2 linked regions of the Oryzias latipes genome follow. Each later gene encodes a partner of the first gene's protein in a complex. Links are inferred from orthologs where the notes say so. Each region holds a gene or a part of one and is shown in the gene's direction. Other genes may lie near its edges.

Region 1 (3,919 bases):
CTTGGTAAATGTGCTAAAAAAAGGTTTGTTGTAATCCTGACGCTTGAAAATGTACTGATGGAATAAAGAGAAGGAAAATGGGTATTAGGGTTTTCATTTCACTAAGTGGCAAACAACCACATTTGAATTGAGGTTTCTGTAGTTAACTCAATCCCCATTCAGGGCTACTGTGGATGCATCCATAATAAACCAGATTAAATGTAGAAAATAAATCCTTTTTTCAGTGCTACCTTACCCAAATTCTTCCATATATATTTTTTTTTGTCTGTTTCATCAATGTCAAATCTTTAATGTTTACTGAAGCTATGCTGTAAAAAGCCAGAAGAAATGCACATACAGATGTTTTGGAAATACATTTTTTACAAATAGAATTTGAGTCAACTCGAGGAACTGGCTTAGTCAGTTTGGATTTGCCAAACTTTGACTGATTCGAACTTAAACTACTCTAATTCCTGTAAGACTTTGTTAAGATACTGTGAGGACGTTCTTGTGTGTTTGTCTCAGTAGAGTTTTGTTACACACTAAATGACAACCCACAGACAGCTGACAGACTGTCCTTACTGAGGTTAGCTCGGAGGAAGCCACCCAGATGACATCCACCAGAAGGAGTATCACCACCCCTAAGGCCATCCTCCTCCGCTGGGCTGTAGAGCTTCCCTGAGAGCTCATCCGGTTCATGATGAAAACCCACTCCATTGAGACCCTATAACAGACACATGACATAGAGGGGAAAACGAATATGATATTTTTTCCCTCTTTTTATTCTACTGTATGCTTTGCTGGAGGGACAAGGCAACAATGCCACTGTACATTGCTCTAAAGGTACAATTTATAAGAATATACCATGACAGATTCATATAGACTTTTAAGACAAGGTAAAAATGAAAAAAAGTTCCTTAAGACTGGGAAACCAGTCAAAGGCCTTTCCTACAGGTTTTTCCAATGAAGACCGTGGTTAACTTAACTAACACGTTGCAGGAAATACGCTTGTAAAGCATCACTAACAACAATACTCATAAACGCGTGTTACAAGTGATGATGTGCGTGTTTTCTACTAGACCTCCGCCTCTTTAAACAAAAATTCTGTTGCATGTTCATGTGGCAATGAATGTAAAACATAAGTGGTCCCAATGAGAATCAAAACTATGAGCACGAAACCGTCTGCAATTTAAAGATGTAAAATTAACTGATTTATTACGATACGACGTTCTGTATATTAAAAACAAAATAAGCACAGTTTTTACTAGCTGTATCCAAAACAAGCTTCGCAGTGGTACGTTTTAGCTGCCTGTTTTCCAAGCTAACTAAGAGCTAGTAAAATGTCCTACAAACAAAGTAACAAAAGCAATAACAGCGGCGTGTTCACCCGAATGCGAGGCGTATTCATTCACTTTTCTTCATTAGTTGATGTCCGATTGATCTTTTACATTACTGTTTCTAAAAAACAACACGTTTTAAACGAGAATATTTTACCACTCCAGCGGTTGTAAACATAAGCACTTCCTTGTCTTGTTATTAGCATCAGGTGACATCACTTATCCCGCTAAGCCTCATGGGACTTGTAGTTAAATGGTGATCGATTAAAAACATTTGAAATGTGTCTATGGCACATATTTTGTTTCCCATGTGATGTAAACAATACTAGTGTTCTTATTAATAGTTAAAAAATAAATAAACAAAAATAGCTTAGAGGCACACAAATCCAGCAGGAGGCGCTGCTTTTATTTGAGTATCCGAAAACAGCCGAAGAAGAACCGTACCATAGCTTCTTCGATGAAATATGGCGGTAGCTTTGTTTGCTTGCTAGCAAAGTTAATTCATATATTTAATAAGTACTAAAACAAGGCAAATCTTGTTGTCTAATAGATCATATTTGTAATTACCCGTTTAATACAAGAGTTAGTGTATCTATAACGCAGTTGGCTTAGTAAAGTAGATTATTATTTTATCGTTTTGGCTAACCTAATGTTACGAGCTAACTAACTGGATTCATTCTCATCATTCTGGTAATCGTGTAGGTAAGTTAGAAAAAAATACTGACTTGCGTATTGAAATTTGTTTATTTAAGTATTATCAATTGAATATGTGTTTCTGTAATACATACGAATGTTTGTAGTCTGACTTAAAACGTTCAGTAATTTGAATTAAAATATAGATGTTATGCGTAATTCTCGTATTGTTATGTATGCTCTAAATTATTATTATTATTTCTGTTTTCCTTTCAGGATCATGCAAGATTATTACTGACTGGAACATCAGCAACATGGACATTTCTTCTAAGGCGGAGGACACTCCGAAAGGGGTCGATATGACCACCAGTGAAAAGGTCTGTACAATTAGCACAAGATGAAAGATTTGTTTACAATCTCAGGGACAACAACACAATCTGGAGGTAGCAGACTTTAAAACAGAAATATTTTAATCTGAAATTGTTCATATAAAGCATTTTAAGTCTTAAAATATACATCTAGAAACACAACAAATCATTAAATGCTTTTTGTGTGATGCAAGTTAAATCTTGATCTTGCTATCTAAACATTCTTTATTTTTTAATCTGCCATCGATTTTGTTCTGATAAATTGCAATATATAAGAAATATTTACAATTGCTGCAGTTTAATCTAAATGGGGCTGTAGTCTACATTTGCAGTTGTCTGGGGTTAATAGCTAAGAACACCTCATTTGGCTCAAACATGCTATATAGTAGAAATTATGCTAATATTTTTTGGCTGGTTAGCCTCTTATTGTAGCGTTGTAGAGACTTACTCTGGTTCTTTCTTTTCTCAGGTGGTGGAGCTTCTGAATCAAGCTTCTCTCATACCCACTGATGAAAAGCTGACTGCTCTCAAACAGGTTGGTAGTGTAAATCTGTGCAGTTTAGATGACTGCTACACAGCAGCACCGACTGAGGTGCTGATGAGGTGGTTGTAAGAATTTGAAGTCACGCGTTTGAATTTCCTTTAGGTTCAAGAGCTCATCATCAACAAGGATCCGTCCCTTCTTGACAACTTTTTGGATGTAAGTAAGCACCTGCCTTTCATGGCAAAGGAATGGTAAGCGTGTAAGTTAAAATCGGCCCAGTCATGTTCTTGTATCTTGCCAATTCTATTTTACAGGAAATAATAGCGTTTCAGACCGACAAATCAATAGAAGTGAAAAAGTTTGTCATTGGATTTATAGAGGAAGCATGGTTAGTTGTTTGTGTCAACATTTTACATCTTATACACTTTTAAATGTATGTATATTTATTGAAACTCTTTTTTTTTTATATCTATTTCCCAACTAGTAAAAGGGACAATGAGCTCCTTGTTAGACTTATCGCCAATCTAAACATGCTGCTGAAGGATGAAAGTGTAAATGTGGTGAAGAAAGCCATTCTGACACTCACTCAGCTCTATAAAGTAACATTACAGGTATGCACCTTAAAGTCACTCGCATAATTTCCTGCTAAAATAATAGGAATACGGTGTTTTTATGTTCCCACATCTTCTGTTGTTTCTTTTCTGCCAGTGGTTGGTCAGCTCAAAAACACTGTCAGAAATGCAGGAGGCATGCTGGGACTTGATCACTCAAATGAAAGGGGAAGTGTTGGCCTTGCTGGACTCCGACAATGATGGTGTTCGCACACACAGCATCAAATTCACAGAATCTTTAATCATCACTCTCTCGCCGCGGACACCTGACTCTGATGTACCCAAACGCCAGGATGCTGACATTAGCCTTGACAAAGTTCCCAAAGACCATTCGTACATTCACTACGGTAAAGATTTTAGAACTCTCTTTTTTTTTTCTTTTTTTTTTTTTTAAACAGGCATGTTAAAATCTTTCTTACTGCAGGATAGATTTATTACATTCTGTTGAATCAACAGGTACTTTGTGTGAAGAAGGAAAGAGTGCACTGGAAAAGCTCTTAAAATTCA
Region 2 (3,919 bases), on another chromosome or scaffold:
AAATTTTGCTTCATTAACTCCGTTGACGGCCAATGATTTTATCTAGAATTGGCCTGAACTTGTGTTTAGCTTAAAATTGTTTTTATTCACGAAATGTTCAGGTGGGACCTGATCCACACATGCACAGGGAGAAGATGCAAACGGGAAGGATTTGAACCAGGGCCTTCTCGCTGTGAGTGAGAGCGCTAACCACTGCCCCACCGTACCTGTTCATTGATTTAAAAAAAAAAAAGATTATTTCATACCTAATTCATTCCAAAACCATTTGATTTAAATTGTTGGGAACCAAAATTTAGATTGAAGTAGGCTTTTTACCTAACCCATTTATATGTTGTTCATTTCAAGACTTTTTCTGGATTACTTGGATGACTGCACTGTTTCATGTCTTGCATGAGACTTTTGAATCCAAAAATGATCAGTGTTTGGATCTGCACAGAAGGCAAAAGTGTAATTTTCCATAAGAATTTAATCAAAAAGGGATTTGGCTTTTAAAACAGATTAAAAGTCAACCATCCATAGTTGACATCTAGGGGAAAAACAGAGATTTGATAAAAATCTTCAAGGTTTTCTGAAAGTCGTGGTTGTTCATGAACTAAAACGATTATCAGTTGTACTTTTTACCCTTTCAATGCATGATAATTACTGACAGGAGACTAGTATATATTCACCAAATCTCATAAAATTGAAAAAAAGAACGCTTTTATCATGGAGAATAACAAAAAATAAAACCAATAAAAGCTATTTTAAGAACTTATTGACCAATAAAAATACAAATAATTAACTCCCCTGTAGAGATCTTTTCTCTCTTATTCTTATGTTTTAGTGGAAGTTCAGTCATAATAATCCACCGTAATATTTTAAGTCAAGAATAAAAACGTTAAAGGTGCGGTTTACAAAAAAACATTTTGAATGTTTGTCACGTGATCACAACTGAACTCAGTAGGAGACCCCGCCCCCAATGACATCACAGATAAAGCCCCAGTCAATTTGCGGAGTTCCGCCATTTTAACTTCCTGCTTCCACGGGAGACGCCGCCGTGGCGTAGCTCTGCTTGTCAAACCGCCAGCTAGTTTACCTGATCAGAAAGAGCTTAATTTGTTTGGTTTTTGTGTTTTTTTACAGGAGTCTGAGTAACTGCTTCGTCTTAGCTCCAGACACTTGTGTCGTTCAGTTTCAGTTGAAGAGTCGCAATGCCGAGCCACCCGCTCCGTGTGGCGGTTGTGTGCTCGAGCAACCAGAACCGCAGTATGGAAGCGCACAGTATCCTCAGGTAACGGATGGCCGCCGGGAGGAGGACGACACGAAGCCTGACACGAAGTGACTGACGAGAGTAGCGCAGTACCGAGCGGTTAGCTTCCGCCTGTTGGGATGCGCGTCGACGGCGGCGGCGCAGCCCGTCGGGCCTCACCGCAGTTTAACAATGGACGCGCTTTTCAGGGTTTAGAGACGCCGCTGCGCACTTCCGGCTGGATTCAAGGAGTTTTATTTACCGCCCAAATTACAGCAATAACTTGTATAGGGGAAAAAACTTGAGTGTTTTTTTTTTTTTTTTAGTTTTTCTTAAAGCCCCATGAGGAGCTTCCTTCATTCCCCGACCCATTTGTTGACAGCAGCGCCCTCTGTCGGTCATTGTCCGTAAACACAAGGCGGGGATTTTGTAACGCAAAATCACTGCTCTGAAGGAGCTACAGATCCAAGTTTACCTGTTAATCAACCAATGCCACTAGTTATCATTTGAAAGAAAATGTTATTTCTTAAAAAATCTTTTTTACTTTTGATCATTCCCAGAGACTAAAAAAAAATGTAGTTGGAGCAAACTTTTAGGGTTACTAACTAGTGACAAAATTAATGTTGTTCTGTGGTTGCCTGCTGCCTTCTAACCAATCTGTTTCTTTTTCTTTGCAGTAAGCGTGGATTTGAAGTGCGATCGTTTGGGACGGGGTCTCATGTAAAGCTGCCTGGTCCGGCTCCGGATAAGCCCAATGTGTACGACTTCAAAACCACTTATGAACAGATGTACAACGACTTGGTCCGCAAGGACAAGGAACTGTATCCCCGCCTGCCCACTCACTCACCCTCCCTCCGCTGCCTCACGCGCGTGCACATGTCTATTGGAGACCCCAGTAAACGGTGCATCTGAATGTACATGTATCTGTGTGGAGTTTGTGCCTTTGGGAGAGCACAGATGACAAAAAAAACAAAAAAATTCCTAAAGTGTGACTGATAACCGCTTACACAAAGTGGGACGGAGGATCGCCATGTACTGCAGCAGCTGTAGCAGCAGTAAGTGCTCTCGGGGAGTCATGAGGCCGCGTGAAGCACACGTTTAATATTTATGCACTTGTTTTTCTCGAAGTTGCTTTGGGTCTAGGCATAAATATGCTGCTGGTTCCATTCCTTTGCTAAGTAATCTCAGAGTAAGGCGTGGAAGGAGCAAACTGTCAGGAGTGCAAAATGAATAAAAATGGAAGCAAAAAAAGTTCTGGAAGCTTCTCATCTGTGGGAAACTAAAACCAGGAGTTTTCAGCTGCCATGATGTTCATTCATGCCAGATTGGGATTCATCAGACTGCTGGTTGGAATTAGGAACTAAAAGGAAAAAAAGTATTATTTTAGTGTAAAACCTGTTCTTTCATAGTCTGAAATCTGCACTTTTAGTTATGATTTAAATCCCTAAAGGACGTAACGTGAACTTTTCTTTAAATATTTAATCAGGTGTTATTTGTTCCTGTAAAATATTTAGGTTTTCGCCAACGATTTGGAAACTGTTCAAATATAAGAAACCAGCTGTTATTGGATCTGTTGGTTAAAGCTGGTGGAAATCTTTCAGATTTGTTTTGCAGGAACAGTTTCCTTCTGGATATGTTCTAACGTGAAGAACTGGAGGTTCTGCAAGACTAAAACAGAGAATTGGGCTGAACATTTTGCCTCAAGTGGACTGAGTAGTAATGATGATGATGGCTACAGGATCATGTTTCTTAAAACAATACCTGTCAGTTAAACATTGTTAGAATACATTTCTGGTGACCTTTAAATTAAATCTTTAATTTATTCTCCAAAGTTTCTATTCCTTTTTCGAAGGCAGAGTTGCGTAGTTACTTGAGTTGACCACATGGGGGCGCCAAAAGACGCTTGACCTTCAGGCGTGTCCTGCAGCTGGCGGGGTGACCCGTCAGCGGTTTAGAATGCAGACGCTTGCTGCGTGAGAGGCTGGTTTCTGTGTGCTGTTGAGGAACCGTCTGTGTTCTTCCTCTGCTTCCATGTTTCCTTGACCTCCTCCCCCTTCAGATATACACAGAACGGCATTTTGCACATGCTGGACCGCAACAAGCGCATCAAGTCCAAGCCGGAGCGCTTCCAGCTATGCAAGGAGAAGTTTGACCTGGTCATCACTTGTGAGGAGAGGGTTTATGACCAAGTACTGGAGGGTGAGGATTCTCTGATCCAGGGAGAAGATGGGAGTCTCTCCTTTTGAAGGCCTTTTCCAAATGATCTTGTCTTTTCTCTCAGATCTGAACTCGAGAGAGCAGGAAACCATGCAGCCTGTGCACGTGATCAACGTAGACATTCAGGACAACCACGAGGAAGCCACTCTGGGTGCCTTTCTCATCTGTGAGCTGTGTCAGTGTGTGAGTGGCCCTTCTCCGGTTTGTTTCTCCCACTTTCCGACCGCCACCGCCGTGGTTCTGTCTCATCCTGGGTCTCTCTGCAGATCCAGCACACCGACGACATGGAGAACGAAATCGATGAGCTCCTGCAAGAGTTCGAGGACAAGAGTAACAGGCCGTTCCTTCACACCGTCTGCTTCTACTGACACACAGAGGGCAGCTTGCAATAAAAACCAGGATCCAGAGCAATCAGGCGACCGAATGTGGACGTCACCTGACCTGTGTGCCTGCACACACACACACACGCGCGCA

Evidence for each region.
Region 2: the proteins of sympk (region 1) and ssu72 are in contact, whole or in part, in a crystal structure (PDB 4H3K), measured with the Homo sapiens proteins. The link is inferred for Oryzias latipes from reciprocal best matches to the Homo sapiens genes SYMPK and SSU72. Residues at the interface, in NP_004810.2 of Homo sapiens: Val123, Lys127, Leu131, Gln135, Asp175, Asn176, Asp177, Gly178, Thr181, His182, Lys185, Glu188, Pro204, Arg205, Arg206, Gln207, Ser250, Ile251, Thr254, Thr255, Asn262, Ala290, Ser292, Gln293, Ser295, Ser296, Lys299, Asn300, Leu303, His304; in NP_054907.1 of Homo sapiens: Glu113, Tyr116, Asp117, Val120, Asn124, Glu127, Gln128, Glu129, Thr130, Cys131, Gln132, Pro133, His135, Asp167, Glu169, Asn170, Asp173, Gln177, Glu180, Thr186, Phe187, Leu188, His189, Thr190, Val191, Phe193.

What each region holds. Positions count from the first base shown.
Region 1 is NC_019879.2:16,692,050-16,695,968, reverse strand, and holds the start of sympk (symplekin), read left to right. Parts: upstream 1-1,754; 5' UTR 1,755-2,018; intron 2,019-2,225; 5' UTR 2,226-2,263; coding exon 2,264-2,326; intron 2,327-2,786; coding exon 2,787-2,852; intron 2,853-2,963; coding exon 2,964-3,017; intron 3,018-3,115; coding exon 3,116-3,189; intron 3,190-3,285; coding exon 3,286-3,412; intron 3,413-3,509; coding exon 3,510-3,759; intron 3,760-3,868; coding exon 3,869-3,919. Other genes in the region: slc35f5 (solute carrier family 35 member F5), read right to left, coding at 1-54, 562-703, 1,474-1,532. UniProt on the Homo sapiens protein: Scaffold protein that functions as a component of a multimolecular complex involved in histone mRNA 3'-end processing. Specific component of the tight junction (TJ) plaque, but might not be an exclusively junctional component. May have a house-keeping rule.
Region 2 is NC_019863.2:1,925,687-1,929,605, reverse strand, and holds the start of ssu72 (RNA polymerase II subunit A C-terminal domain phosphatase SSU72), read left to right. Parts: upstream 1-991; 5' UTR 992-1,190; coding exon 1,191-1,270; intron 1,271-1,905; coding exon 1,906-2,049; intron 2,050-3,287; coding exon 3,288-3,427; intron 3,428-3,509; coding exon 3,510-3,628; intron 3,629-3,711; coding exon 3,712-3,813; 3' UTR 3,814-3,919. UniProt on the Homo sapiens protein: Protein phosphatase that catalyzes the dephosphorylation of the C-terminal domain of RNA polymerase II. Plays a role in RNA processing and termination. Plays a role in pre-mRNA polyadenylation via its interaction with SYMPK.